4 linked regions of the Oryctolagus cuniculus genome follow. The protein of the gene in region 3 interacts with the protein of the main gene of each other region in a pairwise test. Links are inferred from orthologs where the notes say so. Each region holds a gene or a part of one and is shown on either strand. Other genes may lie near its edges.

The links.
Region 1: the proteins of CLEC7A (region 3) and BNIP3 interact in binary tests that used the Homo sapiens proteins (3 or more experiments, as listed by UniProt). The two-hybrid records come from large-scale screens. The link is inferred for Oryctolagus cuniculus from reciprocal best matches to the Homo sapiens genes CLEC7A and BNIP3.
Region 2: the proteins of CLEC7A (region 3) and TMEM79 interact in binary tests that used the Homo sapiens proteins (3 or more experiments, as listed by UniProt). The two-hybrid records come from large-scale screens. The link is inferred for Oryctolagus cuniculus from reciprocal best matches to the Homo sapiens genes CLEC7A and TMEM79.
Region 4: the proteins of CLEC7A (region 3) and BNIP3L interact in binary tests that used the Homo sapiens proteins (3 or more experiments, as listed by UniProt). The two-hybrid records come from large-scale screens. The link is inferred for Oryctolagus cuniculus from reciprocal best matches to the Homo sapiens genes CLEC7A and BNIP3L.

The regions. Positions count from the first base shown.
Region 1 is NC_091446.1:1,003,655-1,007,756, reverse strand, and holds the start of BNIP3 (BCL2/adenovirus E1B 19 kDa protein-interacting protein 3), read right to left. Parts: upstream 2,838-4,102; 5' UTR 2,671-2,837; coding exon 2,625-2,670; intron 1-2,624. UniProt on the Homo sapiens protein: Apoptosis-inducing protein that can overcome BCL2 suppression. May play a role in repartitioning calcium between the two major intracellular calcium stores in association with BCL2.
Region 2 is NC_091438.1:42,426,540-42,430,651, forward strand, and holds the start of TMEM79 (transmembrane protein 79), read right to left. Parts: upstream 2,827-4,112; 5' UTR 2,688-2,826; intron 1,938-2,687; 5' UTR 1,895-1,937; coding exon 1,138-1,894; intron 945-1,137; coding exon 731-944; intron 1-730.
Region 3 is NC_091440.1:106,848,186-106,852,350, forward strand, and holds the start of CLEC7A (C-type lectin domain family 7 member A), read right to left. Parts: upstream 2,831-4,165; 5' UTR 2,706-2,830; coding exon 2,603-2,705; intron 28-2,602; coding exon 1-27.
Region 4 is NC_091433.1:47,857,551-47,861,739, forward strand, and holds the start of BNIP3L (BCL2/adenovirus E1B 19 kDa protein-interacting protein 3-like), read right to left. Parts: upstream 2,831-4,189; 5' UTR 2,675-2,830; coding exon 2,575-2,674; intron 1-2,574.

The sequences.
Region 1 (4,102 bases), on a different chromosome or scaffold from region 3:
AGGCCCTGCACTCTCCCGTCACCCCGCGCGGGCGTGCAGCACGCGGCTGCGGCGCTGCTTGGACGCCCCATCCATCAGAGTGGAGTCTTGGCTGCTTCCGGCCGCGGCCACAGCCCAGCAGGCAGGGGAGTGCCTCCGCCCGGCAGGGAGACCTGGACGAGTCCGCTCTCCTGCTTTGTCCTGGTCCAGCCACGGCTGTGGTGAGCATTTGGGCAGTGAAGCAGCAGGCGGAAGCTCCGTCTCCAAATCTCAAAATAAACAAACTCAGAAAACAAAAACTTTGGGTTCAAAAGTTGTATTTCAGGAAATGATTTACTAAGGGACAGGAGTTTTATCATTAACCTGTAGCAACTCCCTGAGAAGGTGCTTCCTGCAAGTGAGAGGCCGCCGCTAACCCCTCGCTTCCGGAGCTGGGCACTGGTGCCATCCAGTTCAGTGTCTCCTGGTAACTGTAACCACAATGTATTCCCAGCACCGCAAAGGCAGGACCCAGGGACCTCATTCTAGAAGTCTCTAGCCAGGCTTGCGTGGTTGGGGCTGGCAGCACCCCCCCCCCCCGGCGCAGGTTTCAGCACCCACGTCTGGTACTGGCTCCCTGCTCCCAACCAAGCTTCCTGCCCCGGCAGGCGGCAACCGACGGCCCGGCCCGAGCCCTGTGTCTGCGTGAGACCGACGGAGCTCCTGGCTCCGGCCAGCCACCCCAGGCTGCTGTTTGGCAAGCGATCGTCTGTCGTCCGCCTTTCAAATAAATCAAGGTTTGTTTTTTAGTTTTTGGTTGACTTTGCTAACAAGATACACAGCAGGCGGATGTAAACCCCCTCAACCACAGACTCAATACGACCCAGCTCTTCAGAGTTCTGAAGCCACTTCTTAGGTTCCACTTATTCTTCCATTTTGTTAAAATAGCAAGCTTCGTCGGACCTCCACCCCACTGCCCTGTCAGAGCCGGGGTAACCCTGTAGGCCCCCGTCCCCCGGTGCTGGTTCCGTGGCCACAGCCAGCCCCCGAACCTCACGTGGCGTCTGGGATGGGACAGTCGCCCCAGGGCCTGTCCCCGAGTTCAGAATCCCTGTGCCACCCACTGCACACCCAGAAGCCCCACGGAGACGGTGCACAGCCGGGGGCTCCGAGACGGGAGACGGGGCTGCAGAGGGATGGGGGGGGGGGGTGTGTGTGCACTTCCCCGGGAAGCCTGACGCAAGGGAGCTGCTGAGCCTGGTGAGCCTGGAAGGGACCGGAGCCCCAGGCCCCACAGTGCTTCTCCCCGAGGGTGGGCTGCAGAAGTCCTGTTCTTCCATTCAAAAGCCCATTAGCGGGGAGAGGAAAGAGACCGGATTGGCACGACTGGACGTAAGAACTCAGGCTGCGGGCTTCTACGAGCGCCCCGGTCACGTGGCTCAAGCTCCCCGCCGGCGCTCCCGAGTCCCCCCACCCACCGTGCAGCCTTGTTTCCCACTTCACCTCTGAACCTTCCTGCGATGTAGAGACCAGAACCCGGCTGCCTGAGACCCCCGGGCAATGGACCCGACGCGTCCCCCCCCCAGGACAAATGCGACTTCCTCCTCCCCCCCCCCGCCCCGCAGAACACCGAGAGCACAGGAAAGGCAGGGCGGGCGCCCGGAGCGCGGGCAGCAGGGACCAGGGCTCCCGAGCCTGCTGCCCGGGCCCAGGGAGGGCCGCCTGGGCCGGCGCTGGGCCTGCCCGCGGGCCAGAGGTAAACAAGAGGCGATCAAACCTCGCAGGCAGGCAGGGATTACATATCCTGGGCAGCTGCGAGGCCCCACGTGACGGCGCTGGGCTGGGCAGCGAGCGAGTGCCCGGCCGCACGTACGCCCAGGCCCGCAGGATCCGCAGTGAGTTTGCCCCGGTGCAGCCGTCCTCTCTCGGACACTGAGAAAGCGCCATCGGACGCTGGCCGGGACCGAGCAGGCCGGTGTGCGCAGGGCACGGGAGAGCCAGAGGCCAGGGCGGGGCGGCCACGGCGCACCCCTGGGGTCTCGCTTTGCACCGAAACCCCGGGCTACGTCACGGCGGCACTGTCAGTCACTGCAGTTTTCGAAATCGCTGCGTTACGGCGCTCAAAACGGGGCCGTTCCAAAGCAGGGCTCGAGAACCAGGAGACCCGGGCGCTGCGGGGCCCATCGCCCCGTCCCCAGCGCTCTCAACCCCGGCCGCCCGGCTCTCCAGCGGCGGAGCGGCGAGCAGACGGCATCCGCCTCCGTGCGCTCCTCCCGCGCTCCCCCTGCGCGGCGGCCGCCCCTCGCAGGCCGCAGAGGTCGGGCCCGCGCCCCGCGGACCCACGCGCAGGCCGCCGCCCTCCCCGCGTGGGCGTCTCTGTAGCGCACGGACGACCTGCACCGTGGGGTCTCTGTAGCGCACGGACGACCTGCACCGTGGGCACCAAGCGAGCCGCCGCGGACCCGCGCCCCTCCCCCAGGAAAGCCTCCCGGGCACGGACGTTAGAGACCCCGAAACCCCACTCCGCCGAGCCGGGGCCGGGGGTCCAGGGCGCGACTCCAGGCGGTCCCGCGCCGCGGAACGCAGGCTTCTCCGTCCCGTCCGACCCGCCCGGCCCCGCCGCGAGGGCCTCCCCGCGCCGCCCCCGCCGCCTCCCCAGGCCTCACCCTGAAGGTTCTCCTCCTGCAGCCCAGGGGCCCCGCTCTGAGCCATGGCGCCGGGGCCGGCAGCGCGGCCGGGCTGTGGGTGCGTTCCGACGGTCGAGGCCGGAGCGCCGAGGGCCCGCACGGCCAGGCCAGCGCGCCGAGCCGCGGCTGCGCGAGTGAGGCGGCCCGGGCGCCCCGCCGGCCAAGACGCACTGGGCGGGCCCTGCGGCGGCGCCCCCGGGCCGCGGGGCGGGGCCTGCGCTGCGCGTGCGCGGGGGCCCGTGGCGCGTGCGGCACGTGCGGCGCGTGCGCGGGGCGGGCCCAGGACGGCGCTGGGCGGGGCTGCGGCGCGGGCGGGGGCGGGGCCGGGGCTCCGCCCCCGGGGCTGTCCGAGCGGCCCGCGCGGGTCAGCGGGCTGCGTCAGCGCGGGGTGGCCCCGGTCCGCGTCCGCGCGCCCTCTCCGAGCGTAGGCTCTGCCGGGGCCCCGGGCGGGCAGGACGCAGCCCTCCGGCTGGCGTGGAAGGTCGTGTGGCGCCCCGTGTTCGTGCCCTAAGGGCCTGGGTTTGGCCGGGCGACCGCCGTGAGCAGGGCGGCCTCCGGGTGGACGCGGTCGGGAGCCCCAGGGCGGCCTGCCTGCCGTCGGGAGACCCTCGAATCTCTAGTAAGTGAGGAGTGCCGCGGATCCTTCCGTGAAATGGAGCAGCCGGGACTCGAACCGGCGGCCAGGAGGTGCAGCCTCACCCGGGCCCCATGAAGTTCCCTGTAGGACGTGGGCGATGGGCAGGCCCGCGGCCGCCTCTGCCTGGGCAGGGACGTAGCTCGACGCACTACCTCCACACTCGCTCTTGTGATGTGGTTGTCCATTTCCGACTCATCTGCAAGGCACAGAGCTGGAGAAAGATCTGTGCTGGGTCACTCACCAAATGCCGCGCAGCCAGAGCTGGCCCCGGGCCGAAGCCGGGAGCCAGGAGCTCCACGCAGGCCCCCACCGCGGTGACACAGGCCCCCACCACAGTGGCACAGGCCCAGGAGCTCCACGCAGGCCCCCACCGCGGTGGCAGAGGCCCCCACCACGGTGGCACAGGCCCCCACCACAGTGGCACAGGCCCAGGAGCTCCACGCAGGCCCCCACCGGGGTGGCAGAGGAGCCAGGAGCTCCACGCAGGCCCCCACCGCGGTGACACAGGCCCCCACCACAGTGGCACAGGCCCAGGAGCTCCACGCAGGCCCCCACCGCGGTGGCAGAGGCCCCCACCACGGTGGCACAGGCCCCCACCACAGTGGCACAGGCCCAGGAGCTCCACGCAGGCCCCCACCGGGGTGGCAGAGGAGCCAGGAGCTCCACGCAGGCCCCCACCGCGGTGACACAGGCCCCCACCACAGTGGCACAGGCCCAGGAGCTCCACGCAGGCCCCCACCGCGGTGACACAGGCCCCCACCACAGTGGCACAGGCCCAGGAGCTCCACGCAGGCCCCCACCGGGGTGGCAGAGGAGCCAG
Region 2 (4,112 bases), on a different chromosome or scaffold from region 3:
GTAATGGGAGGAAATGTATTAGGGAAAAATGGAAAGAGCGCATCTGGGTTCAGAAATTCACATGAAAATACTCCCCGAGGATTTCAGGCAACTGCAAACTGAGTGAGAGGAGAATAATTCCGCTGTGAGAGCTAAGGTGGCCTCGTCTGTATGAAGAGGACCCTTGGCCAGGGAAGCGTCTCCTGCCCAGAGGGAGGGGCCTGGACAATGAAGGGACCGTGATCACTTAGCAAAGTAGAGATGGCGGGTGGGGAGCAGAGTGTTAGAGTGGGGAGAACTGAGAAGTGTTTGTCCTGGGGATCAGAGTCAGGATAGAAATTTCTAACACATTATAAAAAAAAAAAGTTCTAACAATTAGGGATTTCAAAAACCAAAACATATCGCTTTATAAAGAATGGAGCACTTATCACAGCGGGCATTCAGCTAGAAGCCAAAAAAACTGCATGACCAGAGTACTACAGAGGAGTGGCTGTAATGGGCCCGCTGATTTCTGTGACACTTAAAAGCCTTCCAGTTCCATGCTGGCATGTCGCATCTCTGAAATCAGCTTCCTACCTCCCGGCAGACACAGGAGCTGCCCACCTGCCCCCAGGTGAGTCCGGTGCAGGAGAGTAAGTGAACTCATCTCTCCAGGGCACACGCGGGCCACTCCAGAACCCAGAAAAGCCGCTCTCCAGATATTCGGGTGCCTGGATCTGGCACATCACCCTCCTTCCCCCACCCCACTTACCGAGAGACGGCGAAGAGGCCAGTGAGCAGAGGGAGCAGCTTGAGGGTGTCCTGGGGCAGGTAGGTGGAGAGCACGGCCAGGTTGAAGAAGTACAGGATGAAGAGCTGGACCGACTGGGCCACGTATCTCCGGTGGATCTCCACCTCCCGCCGGGGCTCTCCAAAGGGCCGTAGGGCAGAAAAGCACAACAGGCTCAGCCCGTACACCAGGAGCCCTGGGTGGGGTCAGGAAACACACGGGGTCAAAACAGGCAGGAGGCAGGCACACAGAGTGGGGGTGGGGGAGGCCCTGGCAGGACCAGGCTGAACGAGGGGCGCTCACCTGCTCCCCAAGCCCCAGCAGGCCCTGCCCTTCTGAAGTCCACTCTCCAGGTGTCCCCTTTCTTGTCACAGGGGCCCCAGACTCACCCAGCACGATGGGGAAGGTGGCAAAGACCCCGCAGCGCAGCGTGTAGACCAGGCGGGAGCTCAGGGTGGGCAGCCGTGGGGCGTCGAAGGGCAGGAAGGCGTAGGCTCCGTACAGCAGGCACGGGAAGAGGACGAGGGCGGCTCCCACCGAGGCCACAGCCCTCAGCCCCTCACGGCCTCCGCAGCTTCCGCAGCTCCCGCAGGAGCGGCTGGGGGGCCTCACCACGGCCTCGGCCCACTTGCACTCGGGGGGCTCAATGTGGGGGAGCCGGGGGGGCAGGAAGGACCGACGCTCGCCCTCGCCCGCCTCGCAGCGCACGATGAGGTCCTCCTGGGGCCGCCGCTCGATGCACTGCAGGTCGATGGGCACGAAGGCCCGGGCAGCCTTGGCAGGCAGCAGGTTGGCATCATCCTCAGGCAGCCCCTCAGGCCTGACGGGCAGCTCGGGCTCGAGCGGCTCTGACTCTACGTCCCTCCAGCCGGGAGGGTCTGGGAAGGGCGCAGTGGGCTGGGGGTCGGTGCCCCAGGGCAAGGTGGCGGCCTCGCTCACTGTGCTGTCCAGGCCATCCTCGGTGGCCTCTCTGGCTGAGGCAGAGCCAGCTGAAGACTCCACTTGGAGGGACCCGCCTTCAGGGGACTCGGCCCCGCCTCCCCCTTCTGGCTGCCGGCCATTGGGAACCAGGTCCTGGGGTGGGCTCTTCTCCGGGGCCTCAGGCCTCTTCACTTCCAGCAGGGCCAGGGTCTCAGGCTCTGTCATGCTGGGGCTTCAGTTCTGGGGTCCAGCCTAAGGTCCCGTCATCCTGGAGGGAGGAGGGCAAAAGCTCTCTCAGGCCCCTAGGACGGGGCCACAGAACTGGAACTTCCGGGGCTCCTCTGGCCCCGTCTGGGACCTCGGGGAGAACATGGTTCAGAGGTTGGTGTTGAAACCGAGGGAGGTGGGAGGGAGCTGAAGTGGAGGCACGCTTTCAACATCTTCAGATGCATCCGGGCACGCGAGGGTGAGTCGGGGCACAGGCTCCAGCAGCTCTGGCCTCGGTCAGCCCCCACCCATGCCTCCTACCCACTTCCACCAAAACCCCCGGAGTCCCGGATACCATAATTCAGGAATGGGAAGCAGAGAAGGTGTCTAGAATTTTGCCAACAGCTTCTTTCTCCCCGGAGATCTTCCTGTGGACAACACCACAGCCCCTCCCCCAGCCCATCTGCCCTTCTCCCTGCAGACCCTGCTGGGGACTCCCCCGGCAAGTAGGAGTCACTGTCGACCCATCTGTCCCAAGGAGCTGGCAGTTGCCAGCACCAGTTCTTGCGTCTCCGATCTGAACGTGTGGCCAGCCTCCAATCTTCTCACCATCCCACCTCATGCCGGCAGCCCCCGGGTCTGTCCGTTCTTTGGGGTTGAATCATGGCTGATTCCCACGCCTTCCCTCCTGCCTACCACCCCTCACTGCCACCCTCTATCTCACTGCTTCTGGACGGGGCCGACTCCCCTTCCTTCCCTCCCCAAGGGCCCTCCCCTCGCCACGCCATTTGGAGCCATGACACCCCCTTACTTTCTGTCGGGAGAGAGGTGGAGGGTCCCCAGCGTCCAGTCCAGGAAGCAACTGCCCAGCTCCGTGCTGGCTCTGCAAGTATTTCTCTGTCTCCCTCCCTTTACCTGTGTCTCCAAACCTGTCTGACCAGAGCAGGTGGGGCCCAGATTAAAGGGGCAGGCCCCGCCCTGCTGAATGTGCCGACAGAAAAAGCTTTAGAGGAGGACGTTGTCCTTTCCAAGCGTGGCGGGGGTGCAGCCACGCATAGAGGTGAGTTTGTGTTCCAGGCACCCGGGATGTGTGAGGCGCCCTGGTCAGGAAAGCAGAGGAAGAAGAGTAGCTTTGTGCACCAAACGGTGCTTGGAGTGGATTGGGTAAAGCCAGAAAAGAGTTGGATTGTGTACATTTACTCACTCAAAGAATATTTATTGAGTACCTGTTATTAGCTAGGCTCTGTACGAGGTACAGACAGACACAGGAAGACAAGTGACGTCAAGAGCTCTGCCCTTCTTTAAGGGTAACAGGTGATAGGGAAGCCTGCTTTCTTAGCAGAAGAAACTTCTGTGATAAGATGACACTGGAGCTGAGAATCAGGAGCTGGAGAATCAGGATGACGAGTGTTCCAAGCGGAACAGCAAGTGGGAAGGACTTGGCTGTGTCAGGGACAGAAGGAAGGCTGGTGGCTGGAGCCCGGAGCACCGTGACAGAGAGGGCAGTTCACGTTCCCATCGCACGGTGTGCACAGGCACCAGAACGCCTTTCTTTTCAGATTAGGTTTCAAGTTAAGAGAACATAGTCCCAGTGTCATCGGTGCTCTTTCCAGTGTGAGCAGACGGAACCCAAGCCCCTGGGCGGTGCCCCTGGTGCAGATGCTGCACGCCGTCAGCATCATCAGAGCCTGCCTACCGTGGTCTTCCAGGCTCCTTTCCTAACTGCCCTTATTACAAATCAAGTTCACTGAATTGGTGCAGCAATTCAGGGTCCGGGATCAAAAGACTCATGGGGTCATTTATGGCCTCTGCAGATAACATCTTGGTGTTCAGTCTTGAGAGTTTTCCTAGGAACCCTGGCTCCAAGCAAGAAGTAACTACCACCTGAGTGACTGGAATTCCCAAGAGAAGGTGGCATCGCTAACCAATCAAAGGAGAGCCACGAGCACTGAGGACCGACCAGGGACTTGCACACAAGCCCAACATGCACCTCTTTAACCCCAACTTCAGTCTTGCAGAACCTTTACCCTCAGCCCCCGAGGAGTCTGGGAATGAAGTGGTAGCTGCCCTGCTCCTTAATCTGCACTTTACACCAAACACGCCCTGTCCTCCACCACCTGGTGTCAGTAATTGGCTTGCTGAGTGTCGGGTAAGCAGACCCAGTTTGGGGGCTTCCAGAGCAATTCCTCCAACCTATCCTGTGTTCTATGTTCTAGGACAAGATCTTACCCCTCAA
Region 3 (4,165 bases):
GCCAAGGAGGAGACACAGTACGGGTTCCTGAAGAGCCACCAGGAGCAGAAATTGAATGGAGACCAGGATGAGGGATCGTGGAGAACTTGAATTCCATTGTCATTACAATCTGGCAAATTCTAAAGTGAATCATTCATCATTGGTGCCTGGATAACCTCGCCATTCAGAATTAATGGAGTTTTCCCCTACTCTTAGGATACCTCTTCTTTGGCTGCTGTAGCTGTAGCTTCAGCATAGGCAGAACAGCTTACACTCCTGGTCTCAGAACCACGTGAACATTCTTGAGTCCTGACACTCCTACGGTCTCTGATACCCCCCTTCATTTTTGGAGGAGACATCTTAAAGTAGAAGAAATAGCATTGGTTACTAAGGATAACCTCCCCTCTTGACTTATTCGGTGCATGACTTTGGTCAAGTTACTTCCTCTGTTTTTGTTTTTCATTTTTCTTTGTGACACTGGGGTTCTAATACCTCCAAGGATTATTGTGGGAATTAAGTGAACTAACACGAAAAAGCATCCCACTTAGAGATGACCAGCACATTATAGGTCACTCACTGTCCACTGATATGCATAAACACACACATACCTGGATACCACCTCCCTCAACCAACTTTTCTTTCTGGAAACCCCAGCAGGTTGCCCAAGAAAAAATTGCTTAATTGGTGGTAAGAGGAAAACAATTATGCAATGTGAAGAAGAAAGCAGAAGTCTCATTCTGATGTCAAGACATGTGAATGTTTCCCTTGAAGACAACAGGGAACTGATGTTGTATTAACATTTCCACAGCAAGAGTATATCTCTGCCTTTCACTGAGAATAAACAGGAAGAGCATTTCACGGAATTGTCAAGGAGAATCATAGAGGAGACAAAAATCACTCGTTTGATAAAGAGATCCCTGGTTCCTTTCTCCATATTTCATTCCATTTACATTTTAAGTCTCATATCCAGTTAATGATGACTTTTTGTCTAATATGTTTCCTTCACCAGAATGCCATGAACTCCCTTTAAAAAGAAACATGCAAACCAATCTCTTACCACAAAAGGCATGTCAGATTCAGACTTTTAAACCCCATGACTGGAGTGGATGTTTGGCATAGTGAGTAAGTTACAGCTTGGGAAAACCTTATCCCACATTAGAGTGTCTGAGTTCAAGACCTGGCTCTGCCTTCAGTTCCAGCTTCCCACAAATACACACCCTAGGAAGCAGCAGGTGACGGCTCAAGTGCTTGGGTTCTTGCCACTCATGTGGGAGGCTTGGTTTGAGTTCTGATCTCCTGGCTTTGGCCTGACCCAGCTTTGGCTATTGTAGGCATTTTTGGAGTAAGCCTGCAGAAGGGAGACCCGTTTCTGTCTCTGTCTCTCTCTGGCTTTCAAATAAATTTAAAAAATTTTAAAAAGCAGGAAAAAGAAATAAACTCTTTGACTTCTGATTTCCATTTGGTCTCTACAAGAAGATTATCATTTTACTGTTTTTGTCATCTGTCTCCCATCTTTTCATTCTTTTTCTAAAGAAGTTTTTTTTAAAAATTTATTTATTTTATTTATTGTAGAGGCAGAGAAACCATCTGCTGGTTCATTCCCCAAATGCACTTAACGGCCAGAGCTGGGCCAGGCTGAAGCTGGGATGTGGAAATTCAATCTGGGTCTCCGTCATGGGCGATGGGGACCCCGCTCCTGGAGTCTTACTTGCTGCCTTCTGGTGTGCACACCAGCAGGAAGCTGGTATCAGGAGCAGAGCTGAGGTCCAAATCCCAGCGTCTTAGACTCTAGGAATGTGGGCACCCTGATATCTTAAACAGTAGGCCAAATGCCTACTCTTATCATTCTTCTCTTTCTTGTCTTTCCTGATGTTGATACACACAAGTTTCCTTGACCTCCAGTCTATGATCTATTCCCTTCTATCAAACAAGCAACAAGTCACCCTTATTGAAACCCCATTCATGGGGTCAGCACTGTGCCGTAGCTGGTAACACTGCCACTTGCAGTGCCGGCATCCCATATAGCACCAGTTCGAGTCTTGGCTGCTCTGCTTCTGATCCAGCTCTCTGTTACGGCCTGGGAAAACAGCAGAAACTGGCCCAAAGCCTTGGGCCCCTGCACCCATGTGGGAGTCCTGGAAGAAGCTTCCGGTTCCTGGCTCCTGCCTTCAGATAGGTGCAGCTCCAGCCATTGCAACCATTTAGGGAGTGAATCAGCAGATGAAAGACTTCTCTCTCTCTACCTACTTCTGTCTCTCTGTAACTCTGCCTTTCAAGTAAATAAATCAATCTTAAAAAACAGATGCAAAAACAATATACAAAAACAAAAGAAGAAATCCCTTCATACTTATTGCTAACTCTTCAGAGAGGAAGTGGCAATTTCTATAAAACAGAGAAACTGTATTTTCTGCCATCATACATAATTAATTTAAGTACTAACAATTAGTTACTCAATAGCTTAGGCTTAACAATTAGTTAATAGTAAAGGCTTAGTACAAATCCAAGTTATCTTCTGTAATTTCTAAAAATCTTTAAGTAAATCTAACAAGTTGTATCTACAATTTTTTCCACTTAAGTATTTAATTGTGAATGAGAGTGCTGAAGTCAGAAAAAAAAATAATACCTTTCTCTGATAACACACGTGTTCTGGTGGTGACTCGAGAGTTGAAGACTAATTGAGTATATCCATCTTCATCTACATTTTCTAAACCAGAATGAAACTCCATCGTTCTATAGAGTCCCAGGATAGACGCAGCATTTGAGAGCGCCTTTCCTTCTCCTAGGTTGACTGCCTGTGGACAAAAGAGGATCTAAGAGTTGAATCATGTGGGATAGGCATGTTGACTGAGCTTTAAGAAGCTGAGCTTAAGCAGCCCAACGACGACAGATACCCAAAAGCAGGAAATGAAAACTGTGCTGTGGTAATTTCCTATCCTTACCTTTAGATCCTGTTTCTGAGACTGTAGACTCTTAAGAAAATCAAAAGGCTGAAAAGTACACAGATTGAAGTTTCAGATCATATACAGGAAAAAGGCGTGGATTAATGTCTTATGGTGCCTTTGTTACTTGCACAACTGAATTTGACATCATTAATTGATGTAGCCTATTAAAGCATTTGGGTGCCTTGAGTTTATCCCCACTTTGCTCTAACTATTTTTTCCATGCACTTATTCATGTATTTGTTCATTCAGTAAATATTTATTGAATGCTCAACTTTCCACTGAAAGGAGCTAAGGTTGTAAAGAAAATGATAGCTGCGAAAAAGCTCACCAGAAACTTATGGATTGCTATTTGAAGGATTCCACAAGGAAGTGTATAGTTGGAGCAATACTGAGAGGGCAAAGTTCTCCTCTGAATTTGTCAGGGATTAATAAAACAAAGTAGCGATTATTTGTACCCAAGTGCTGTGAGTTAGCTGCTACTCTATACTAGTTTTCTCACTCAATCTCAGTTCTCCAACAAGTCTATGTGGTAGGTATTATTTCTATTTTTAGATAAAGACAATAAGACATTTAAAGCTTATTCCCAGGGCCAGCATGTGACATATTGCTTGAGACACAGATATCCATATCAGAGCAACTGATTGAAGTCCTAGCTGCTGTGCTTCCAATCCAGCTCCCTGCTAATGTGCCTGGGAAAGCATCCAACTGTGTTTAGGCCCCTGCCACCCATGGGGGAGATCTAACTGGAGTTCCTGGCTCCTGGCTTTGGCTTGGTCCAACTCTGGCTGTTGCAGCGATTCTGGGGGAGTGAACCAGAGGATGGAAGATCTCTGTTTCTCTCTATCACCATTTCCCTTTCTGTCACTGTGCCTTTCAAGTAAGTATAAATAAATAAACCTTAAAGAAAACTTAGTCCCCTTTTCAGTTTTGAGAAGCTAGTTAAAACATTGGAGCAAGGAATAGTGCTATGGGGCCCTGGCTGCTGCTCCCAAGCATGTCCAGTCCTCTGAGGAGAGGAAGGCTTTGTCATTCCTCTAAAAGAGGCAAGAGAATAGGATGTGAATTTGTCTCCCTGACTGAGGGTTGGGAGAAAGTTTCAGGGGCCAGGTAGAAGAAAGCTGGAACACGGACATGCAGGCCAGACAAGCTTTGATTGGAGAGGCTGGATTCAGGCTAGCATGATCAGATGAACTTTTAATTCTAGATTTCCACGTTGAAGGAACTCTCGTGTCTGAAAAGGCTCC
Region 4 (4,189 bases), on a different chromosome or scaffold from region 3:
GCTCCTGGCCCTTGCCTGGCCCAGCCCTGCTGTTGCAGGCATTTGAGGAATAACCAGAAGATGGGTATGTCTGTCTCTCTCCATTTCAAATAAATTAATTTTTTTAAAAAAGTTGTAATTCCCACATTAAACCACAAGAACTACACTGCTTCTATGATTTTCCTTATACTGAGTTTTATGACAAACTTTTATTCAGATATTCTTAAGGAACATGATAGTTTTTTTTAAAGCATAAAACTAAGAACCAGAAAATATTTTTTTATCTTGAGAAAGAGTTTGGATATTTGTGCCCTAATTTGTTATGAAAACACAGTTGCCCTAGAATGAATGATAAATTAAAAAAAAAAAAACCTTTCAGAGAAAGGCTTTACTATTTAAGTATTTCAATAAATTGCCATTAAACTCTGCTTTGACCCCTAGACCAAAGATAAAATCCTAACCAGAGATAATCACGATGAGTTTCATCTCCTGTTTTCACAGTCGTGCTTTACCCAACAGAGTACTCCAACTTATCAGCAATTCATAGTATTAAATGTCTGAATAAGTTGTTTTGCCAGATGCCCAAAAATCACTTGAAGGAATCAATAAGGCTTCTTGTTTTGTTCAGTCCAGTGTTGTGTAACGAGGGAGAAAAAAAGGATCAGAGGAAGAAGCAAGAGAGGAGTAATTTAGTATGGTATTATCTGAAAGTTTTGCAGTAACTTAAAAAGCTCACATTACCCCCAAATAAAACACTTTCTACCTAGTGGATTCCCCAAAGCAACATCTGGTATCACCTGCAGGCGGGGTGTTCTTCCACTTCTCTAACAGCTAATGTAAACGTAGCAGGAACTGATTGGCCAGACATCAAACACCAAGATAAACAATCATATACAGCTCAACCCTCCCTCTTGCTTTATGGTAAAGGGTCACAGGAACATTAAAACTCCTTTGGACTCTGGGAAATCACGTACACATACTAAACACATTTCTTACGCATATGAAAACAGCACAATTAAGAAACAGAATACTATAAAGATAGGCAGCCACCGATGTACATTCGACAGAAAAACATGCTGAGGGTAAGAAGCACCCGTGATCAGGGACTTGGGACCCCAGGGAAGGTCCCGGATGGGGCACCCGAGGAGCTGAAGGGGGGTCCTCAGCTCTAGGTCCGGCCAGCTGTCAACCTGAACGAGCCCCCTCACTCTAAACCCCGTTTCTATCCCCAGATCCACGCTTCCAAGCATGTATGCCAAAACGTGACCAACAAGTAAGATCTAAAGACTTCCACTACTCCTAACTTACTGCAGGGGAAACAGCAGAGATCTTACATTCTAGAACATTCCATACACACTTACAAGTTTAAAAACAGTCAACACTGAGAATTAGTCCATCAACGACCGACCACCTGCCACAGGCAGAGAAAGCATCTAAAAATACCCAGCTTTCATGCCCACTCTTCAGGGGACAGGGACTCTCTTCCCTAAAATAACGTTCTGGCCACGCTGGGAGCGCTTTCCTCTTAGGAAAGAGACGGTGTGACCTTTAAGCATCCAAATGGTTGTTAAGCGACTCGGTCTGGCCATATGCTGGCTGCCTCCACCACCTCTTTCCTAAGAGCAAATTACAGAAAAAGGTTAGGCAAGAACCTCGGAGCTCTCACCACCACTGGCAAGATGTCTGAGCCCCAGGCTGTCAGAAGTACCCGGGGTCCGTCCTAGCGCCACCCTGCCACTGTCAACCACCCGTGTGCCTGTGATGGGTGTTTTAAATCCCATGTGTGAATACCCATCGCCCCAGACTCCGCGTGGGCTGGAAGTGGGGCTCATCTTAAAACAGGTTTACTGTGCACGCTACTGCATCGTTGAAAAAGACTTGAGCAACTTTGCAAATCTCACAAAGCAGCAGCAAAGAAAAAGAAATGAAAGGCACAGGCTGTGCACCCCCACACGTGATTCGAGTCACCACGAAATTGCCAAATGGGTTTCCCCGACCGGCATGTGGCAACAAAGGATCGCAACCGAGGGCTGCCGGGCCCCGCCCGGGCAAGCCCGGCCCGCGGGGCACGCTCGGCAGGGGCCCCACGGCACACCTGCTCCCCGACACGTCCTCGGCCGCCCCTCCCCTGCCCTCCCGCGCCGCGCGTCCATCCCCCGGCGTCCCCGCCGCACGTCCCCATCCCTGCCCACGTCCCCTTCGCGGCCCGCTCCGCCCACCTTTCCGCCCCGCTCCCCAGGGCCCGCCCCCTCCCTGCCCCGATTGGCTCTGCTTCAGGGGCCTACAGGTGGGATCTGCCCTGCCCCAGGGGCAGTCTGGCGCGCGATCCCCTTTTCTCCCCACCCTCCTCCCCTCCCGGAGAGCGACCACAATTGGCACCCAGTCCAAGACCCCAGGAGGGAGCGGAGACTAGCCAAGAGGAAGACTGAAGCGCCTCCTCCTGACAGGTGACGGGAGCTGTCAGTCAGCAGAACATCCTCGGGCTTGACCAATGGGCTGCCTTCTCCTCCCGCCCCCCGCGCGGCGCTGGTGGCGGCGGCCGGAGCAGCTCCTCCTCCCCCATCCCCTTCAGCGAACCCGTCGGCGAGCACTCACTGTTGAGGCCGGTCGGTGGGGGCAGATGCTGGTCACCGTCCTCGCAGTTGTTGTTGTTGTTGTGCAGGGGCGGCGGCGGCTCGACTAAATGAGACGACATGGTCGGGCGTCTGGAAGAGCTGCGGCCGCACCAGGACCGTCTCCGGTTCTCGGGCAGCAACACAACAAGCTGAGTCCCCCGCCCCCTTTTCTGCGCCTGCGCAGTCCCTCCCCTGTAGCTGACGTCAGGGTCCGCCCAAGCCACGTGATGACAACACAACAAGCGGCGGGGCTGGGCGGGGCAGGGGCGTTCCTGTGCGGGCCCGGACGTGCGGGCGCGGGAGTCACGCTGACGCGCGGGAGGGTTGAATTCCTTCTTGTAATTTGGAGTGAGTGATGCAGATGGCACTGGGAGAGAGGATGGGCGAGCAGTGCAATGCAGGTGTCTTCGCGAGCAGAACTCCTCCCACACCTACACCGCGCTCGTTGTTTCTGTCAGTCTCCGAGCATTTAATTTTTAAAATACCTGTAAGGACTCACTGCGGCACAGGAAGCCGAAAGCCTGATGGGACATCAGCATTCCAAGCAGGGCACAATATAGGGCTATCTTTTGGTTATTACAGGATTCGTAACACTCCATCATGGTTAAAAAAAATCCCTTCAGGAAAACACAGTGAAGAAAATAATCGCCGCATTCCCCACGCGGCTGTTTCCGGGCCACCACGTGGGAAGCCACGTGTCTGGTATGTGGGTGGCACTAAATTCCTTTGTTCCTAAACAGCCCGTCTACTTCGCTCTCTTGTCTCCAGAGGCCCGGTCCCCTGGTGTCCTTGGGCTGGCTGACCTGTTGCCTGCGGTGGCATTTGTGACTTGTCTTTCGTGTTGCTTCGCTCTGCAGATGTTTTAATTGCTCCTGTATTGTTTTCATGTCATGTCCCCCTGGCTCAAACCAAGATTAGGAATCCACTCCTCCTGCCCTTGTAACTTTTTCTAATTCCCTTATAGCCTTAATTTTATATTTAGGCCCCAGTCCACCTAAAATTCAATTTTCACATGTTATTTAACTTCAATTCTTCCCAATTTTGTAACCAATTGACCCAACAATATTTACTGATTTTTAAGTCCTCCCTTCAACCCTGATTTGAAATTGCATGGTCTAAATGCCCACAGAAACAAGTCTGTCTCAGGGCTGGTTACTAGAGAGCCTCTCTTCATTTGTCTTTTGAAAATGACTGATTACCCTTCAGATGAACTGAAAAAATGGGCTTGCCAAATATTGACCATGTGTTGGCGATTACTGAAGCTAGGTAATACATGAATATTAAACTCTTCTTCCAGTGTTTTCATTTATTTGAAAAACTTTGTACTTAAACATTTTTTAAAGGATTAGTAGGTCAAATCCTATTGCAAATAAATTTTTATATAGATTTATTTGTTTCTTTGGAAGGCGGAGTGACAGAGAAGGGGGAAAAGGGGAGATAGAGTGAGCGAGTGAGAGAGAGAGAGAGAGAAATCTTTCTTCTGTTAGTTCACTCCCCAGATGGCCTCAATGGCCAGGTCTGCACCAGGCCTAAGACAAGAGCCAAGTATTTTATAGTTGGGCCATCCTCAGCTCCTTTCTCAAGCATATTAGCAG